Linked DNA regions of Arabidopsis thaliana. The protein of the gene in region 1 interacts with the protein of each later gene in a pairwise test. Each region holds a gene or a part of one and is shown on either strand. Other genes may lie near its edges.

The links.
Region 2: the proteins of LBD40 (region 1) and TINY2 interact in a two-hybrid assay, tested with the Arabidopsis thaliana proteins (one large-scale study listed by BioGRID).

The regions. Positions count from the first base shown.
Region 1 is NC_003070.9:25,051,555-25,055,405, forward strand, and holds LBD40 (LOB domain-containing protein 40), read left to right. Parts: upstream 1-2,118; 5' UTR 2,119-2,246; coding exon 2,247-2,436; intron 2,437-2,593; coding exon 2,594-3,105; 3' UTR 3,106-3,310; downstream 3,311-3,851.
Region 2 is NC_003076.8:3,726,669-3,730,329, forward strand, and holds TINY2 (Integrase-type DNA-binding superfamily protein), read right to left. Parts: upstream 2,059-3,661; 5' UTR 1,832-2,058; coding exon 1,121-1,831; 3' UTR 785-1,120; downstream 1-784.

The DNA.
Region 1 (3,851 bases):
ATCATCAACAAGAGTTCACAAACTTTTATTTTTTACACATTCATGGCTTGTTTCTAGTTCTAGATTTGGATTTTTCTAGCTTCACTTTTGATAGAATTCGGGGGAAATAGAAATTGTTAAACCAAAAGGAAGAGTTAACGTTCGATTCTGTATCAGATAAATCTCTATAAAGGATTATATCATTGTATTATTCCAGCTAGCACATATCCATTTTCGTATTTGTCAATTAAGAGAATTTGTATTTATTTGTTTATTATAAGACGACAATAAGAAAGACGACAAAAAATTTTATTCGTATGCTTATATTTTGTATGCATCTATTTTTCTACCTCTTACCTATGCATTTTTATTTTAATGAATTATCATATCTGTTTGTCAATCACTTCTATAGCAATATGATAATTTGGTTGAAACTGTATTTATCCATACGTCTATCTAAACATGTATATATACCATTTGAATTTTTCAAAAACATAATATATATACATATAGGAATTAGGTTATTGACTTATTGTTTATCTTACAATATGTTAAGTTATTTGATATAGAAAATTATTGTACAACTTTATACAGGTCTTCTAAATTACCTGAAACGACAACAAATTTATTTCATACTAGTATATATCATATAGCATATATAGCTTTCACATTCGTCTGTAACTGGTCTTTCAGAAAAATTGACTCTATAGAGTCTACTAGCTATAGTTATGATTGTTCGCATGATTATATTATTAGTTAAAGTGGAGACAATCGTATTAATCGTGTGATAGCCGGCAGAAGAAAAAATAAATCGTTTTATCCGTTAAAATTATATATATTTTGTTTTACTGTATTTTTCTAGTTTTTAACTAAGTTTTATCTTTATATAAATAATTATAAATGTTTATATAATGTTTGATATACTTAAATAAATATTTTATCTAAACTTTGTTTGCGATTTGACATTTTTAACATTTTTGATAGATATTTATATATTTTCTATAATTTTAATTTTTAACTGTTTCTAAACCTTAATAATAATTAATAGATTGTGTGTGCGTTTTTTTCTTTATTTTATTAAAGAAGTAATAGAAATAATTCAAACATCACCATTCAATGATGGGTGTTTCAATGGAAGAAACTACCAAATCTAACCAATAAACGTTGGCATCTATTCACCTAAAAGTAAAAATTGTAGAGCCTATATTAGTCAAAGTGATCCATGCAGATAATTTATTAGTAGGTCTTTCGATATTAATGTTGATATATACTAGAGCCTATAGAAGTCAAAGTGATTCCATTAAGATAATTTATTAAGTAGGTATTTGGATATTAATATTAATTATCAGAATTATGTATGGAGCTACATAATGTGTAACCGCTCAGAAAACGCGGCGATTCGACCAAACTCTGTTACCACAATGTCTCCGCCACGCGATCACACTTTTGCGCTTGCATGCGAACGTTGAAATTCGAACCTCTCATCTCTCTATTTACCATTTTACCCTCTAGTAATTTCGTTTTCAAAATTTACTATCTCCAAATATTTTGGCAGTCCATTATTAATTGCCGAACATTAAACTGCGGTCTAGACAAAAACAAACGGCGGTCAGATATAAACAACTAACCAAAAAAATAAAATACTTGACTGGTTTTGGACATTTTCGTCGATGATGATCACGCGCTACGAATGAGAGCCAAAGACAAAGCTCAACGGGCTTCCATATATATTTCATATTTATTAGTAACTATTTTCCCCAAAAAAAAAAATATATATTATTAGTAACTACAAACAAACAAACAAAATGTATAAACCATGAAAATTAAAGATTTTAAAATTTTATAACTATACAAATAGTATGAGAAGCTTTGTTTATTTTTATAAACACATAATAACAGTTTGAAAAAATTACTTACCTAAATAAAGGTAATATTCTCGTAATTTACTAAAATAATTCATACAAAATATAAAAACAATTACAAAACTCTTCTTTTTTGGGCTCTTTACATCTTATTTATACTTTGAAAATTACGATATCCATTTAGAGAAAAATATAACATGCACGTCACAAATTTATTTATTTTTTGAAAAAAATTACACACAAAGAAAACGACAACTTCGTTCCTTGTTAATTGTTATGATCTCTCCGACCAAACCCAAGCAGCTTCTCCCTCTTAAATACCTCTTCCTTCTTCTAAGATCTCTGGACCATTCTGTACTTTCCCTCAAACCCAAAACACATTTTGTTTTTTGTTTCCCATCTAAAATGCGTATGAGTTGTAACGGATGTCGAGTTCTACGAAAAGGCTGCAGTGAAAACTGTAGCATAAGACCTTGTCTTCAATGGATCAAATCCGCTGAATCTCAAGCCAACGCCACCGTCTTCCTCGCCAAGTTTTATGGCCGTGCGGGGCTCATGAACCTCCTCAACACCGGTCCTGACCACCTCCGTCCTGGTATTCAAACTTCCCATGCATGTTATGTTTTTTGTTTGTTATGGTTAATTGCGAAGTTCTGGACGGAATCTCTCATACATCTTTTTAGGAAACGTAGGATCCTGTTTATTTTTCTAACATGCATCTAATAATTTGGTAATTTTGTTTGTTTTTGCAGCGATATTTAGATCATTGTTGTACGAAGCATGCGGGAGGATTGTGAATCCGATATACGGATCCGTGGGGTTATTGTGGTCAGGAAACTGGCATCTTTGTCAAGCGGCCGTTGAGGCAGTAATGAGAGGCTCACCCGTGACTCCGATCGCATGCGACGCAGCGGTTACTGGTCAAGCACCTCCTTTTAACAACAAGCTTTGCGACATAAGACACGTGTCAAGCAGGGACGAGAACGTTAAGAGACGGAGCCGTGGTGCATGCAAGGAAGAGAGAAACGTGAGGTCTTTGAGTCATGAGTCGTCACTGAGTCACGAGTCACCGGTGTCTTCTGAGGAGACGACGACGGAGGAACCAAAGACTTGGATCGGGCTTGAGCTGACTTTGGGGTTGGAGCCTTTAGCACGTGGAAATCACGTGGTGGTACCGATGAAGAAAAGAAAGTTAGAGAGGTGTGGCACGTCTGAGGATGAGGACACGTGTAAGATTGAGCTTGGACTGGTGTGCAGTGAGTGAATGGTTCTTTTTTTGTGGCTGGTCTTAATTACAAGTTTTGGTGTTGAGTTTTAGGTGTACAAATAGAGATTAACGAATCTCTCTTTTTTCTCTTTTTGAGTTTTATGTTTTGTTTTGTTTTCTTTTGCATGTTCGGTGTTCTTCATAAATATGTATGATGAATGATAAAGAGGTCTTAACTTAACAAATCTTGGTTCGGATCGACATAACAAACATTTCTTCTTTCCATTCTAAATTCTTGATTTTACTCATGTACTTAAACAAACGATGCAATTGATGTAAACACGTTTATCCCAATAAATTTTGTATTTTATTTATATAAAAAAAAACTTAACAAATCTTCTATTTCAGAAATATCTGGGGTTAGATTACAAAGAATCTAAGTTGCTTAATGATGAAATCTCCATATGATGATTAGTCATTCATTTATAAATATTTTGTCTCAAAAAGCCCTTTTGTATGTGAACCGTGTTACCAAATGACTCAGCAGCTAACATGCATGTGTGTTAGATTTTTGTTCTCGAAGGATATGTGTAGGAACTTAATTAGCTAGAGAAAACGAAAAGGATGAATTATTTTAACTAATTGGGTCGAAATGTGTATTCAGCAGAAAACATAGCCCAACTCTTTCGGACTTGAATCCTGTTTTGTCCATCTATCTTCCCCCCCTATACACTCAATTCTCATACTATCAGATATGCTAAAATAATTAATGCAGTTTCTAGCCTACAGATATTTTGGGCTGT
Region 2 (3,661 bases), on another chromosome or scaffold:
ATATCTTGAGAACAAAAAAAATCATAAACCCTAATACCAAAATCTTAAATCCTATTTAGCTTCTTAATTTAAGCACAAGCAAATAGTGACGCCACAACGGTGGTGGTACGACAAAAGTTCGGCTATAAAGAAAATTGGATGTGGAGACATAAAATGAAGAGAGGAGGAACTCCCTTTAGGGATCCAAGTTATATGTGGAAATTAAATAGATGCTCATTCATTTTAATATTAATCTATTTCTTGATATATACATTCTTTTTTATTTGATGATCATTATGAAATTTTGATAAATTAGTCTTTAATCTTAACATATCGTAGAATAAGAACACAAACAAAAAAAAGTCATCTGTGGAGCTGGCTAATCAGATCTGAATTTATCATAAGCCTTTCTCTTTTTAATTCTAAAATAGAACGAGTTGTATGATATTTGTGTGGCCTATATTGTCTAACAAATTTTTTAAAGTGGGAAATTATGGTCATTAACATACTAATAGATGATAATAAAGTATTGCATGGATGTACATATGTGGCTGTGTATTGTTTGCGTCAGCTTGGACAAGTTGCTCTTGCTTTGTGTTTTCCCTCATTTTTTACCCTAACTCACATTCTCCGTTCCATTTATGTCGACAAAACAAAAATGAATGGGATAGTGAGACTCTAATTTACAATTAATGGTTAAAGATATTTCCTATAATTTTAAAAAAAAAACTTTTTTTGTCAAAGAAAACAAAAACAAAAACATTGAACAGTTTTTTAAATTTTGATGATTTGCATTATTACAATATCATAAAGTTAGTGGACTTTTATTTATCGCTTATTCATTTGATGATACTTACAAAAAAATCACTTTATTTTCCCTTCTTTTCCGACAAAAAAACCCGATATTTATATATTACAAAAAAAAAACACAAATAGAGTTTTGTACACGTATCATTATGGAGCTCACACCCGCTCCAAAAAAAAAAAAAAAAAAAACCTTTCTTAGCTAACACCAAAAAACTCAAAAAAAAAACAAAAACAGCAAAGGGTTTTAAAAACGTGATTAAACAAAACATTATGGCAATGATACAAAATAAACTGTTTTAAACAAAACATTATGGTAATGATACAAAATAAACTGTTAGAGATCCCATGACAAGCCATGGCCAAAATTAGGGCTAATTCCGTGACCATAGTTATCTTCGGACGACTGTCCCCACGGCGGCGGATATAAACAGTAGTCAACTGAGTCATAGAAGACAAACTCGTTCCCAAGGTTAGCCGAGTCGACGTCGTAACTCGCCCCGAGACTTGGAAGCTCCACAATCTCACCGAGCTCCTCCGACTCAGTCCTCGAGAGGTCCATCACCAACACAAGAGACTCGAGCGAAGACGTAGAAGACAAAGACGACGACGAAGACGTGGAAGATGAAAACGACGTCGTCGGTTCCATGTGAGCTGCTTTAAGAGCTGCTGTCTGAATGTCTCGAGGGCTTAATGAAACGGGTCGAGGGAATGAGTCAGCGAGTTCAGGGAAGTTTAGTATAGCGGCCGTTCCTTTAATGCTCAGAGCCGCCACGTCGTGTGCACGCGCCGCCATCTCCGGCGTCGGGAAAGTTCCCAGCCAAATACGTGATTTCTTCCTCGGCTCACGAATCTCCGACACCCATTTTCCCCAGTTCCTCATCCTTACTCCGCGATAAACAGGGTGTTTACCGGAGTCTCTCCCACGTTTAGTCTTCTTCTCGCTTTGCTCAGCTTTGCTTTTGTCACTCACTGAGTCAGACTCCGAGTTAGGGACAAGAAGCTGAGTTACTCTCTCCGAGCGGAGGCTGTAGTATTCCTCTGCCATTGTGTTAGCTTAGGCACAAGTATCGTACAAGTCTATTATTCTGATTGCTTTTTTCGATTCGGATCCCGAGATTAATGCAAATAAAAAGAAATAGCTAGGCTTCAGGGGGAAAAATATATAAGTTTGAGAACTATTCAAAATGAGGAAAAAAAACAGGGCAGTGAAGTGTGATGAAGAAATGAGAGAGAAACTTTGATATGAGAAGAGAAAAATGTTGGTAAAATTTTGGCTATCATTTCTCAGTCACTCAAAATATTTATATATGCATTAATATATTTGGGTACGGGTTAGAAGAGAGGGAATGGGACCAAAAACAATGCAATAAGTCTAATTGAATAAAGGAAATGGACCCAGTGGCTCCATTTATTTTTGTTTTTCTCACAGACCCACTCTATTTCTATATTGTGAATATATTGTTATTAGTATAAAACGACACACTTGGGGTCACTGTTTGCTTTAATATTTTTCCCGGTTCTTAAAATCTCATTATGCAACTAAATTAGGAAAACAAAATACTTTTCAGTATATTAAAAGATTATGAGACGACCATATTTAGAAGGGCAGTGTTGAAAAGAGATTTTGTCTCGGCCGGGTACGTAAATTATATGAAAGTTGTCTCCGAGATGAACATGATGAGACAAGCCTTTTTTGTTTTGTGTGGTAAGATAATTTTCACCTCAGTTTTACTGTTTAATTATCCTTTACCTTGATCTTCGACTCATTGGATCATACATTCCTATTTACATATTGGTATATATATATGCTCATCATGTGAAGGCAATATGTATCCACATATATGATATGCCATAATTGCAATTTAGTTTTGATCAGAATTAATATACATATTATTTACACGGATATAGAGTTATTGTCTTTCAAATTTTGATTTTCTATAAACATATTATATGAATGTCAACAGTTTTTGAAGATTTATTCAGGAAATTTTTTTAGTAAGTATCATATGTTTACTTTAGTTATATATATCGAGGGCTAATTAAAGGAACTTGTCTTAACCAATAAACCATATGCTTCGAGGCTAAATTTTAAATTTTGGAGAAATTTGTAACTGAGTGTTTTTTTTCGAGACACCAAATGGTGTGTGATTAATTGCACAATTTGTACTGATTTCATTTGAGAGGATATTTTATACTTAGACTTGAAAAGGTGTACTAAAGGGGGTTTAACCGTAAGTAAATTGATAATTAATACCTCTGTCCTGGTCTTAGAAAATATATGGGCGTAAGACCCATAAAAGAAAGAAATCTACCAGCCAATTGATATTAATTAGGTTAAAGTTGCTTCCAAACTAAAAAAAAAAGCCCCCAAAATTAGAGGTACAATATTGCAAATAAAGAAAAGAAGTTTGTAGAGGAAACTTCAAGAAATTTTAAGGGACAATAACTTGTTCAATCATGGGGTCGTATTTGCGTACCTATAAGGAAGGACGAGTGTCTGTCAAATATACACATACACTAAAGTCTTTTAATAATCATGCCAAAAAAATGTCTCTTAATGACGAAAAAATAATGTCTCTTAATAATCATTTTGGATTTTTCACAAGTAATAGCAATGTCTAAGTACTTGCAATGAAGAGAATTGTTTGTATTTTCGCCTCTCGTTTCAGCAATACGTATATGCATTTTATATTGATCATATACGTAATACTAATTAACAATAATATTGATCATCTTAAGTTTACTAAAAAAAAAAAAAAACTGGTCAACAAAGGTTTTAGAGTTTACAAGTTTCTAATTCAAAAATTATTGACATGAATATATTGACTCTTGCTTTATATTTATCCTAGTTAAACAGATTTTATGTGAGATTCTT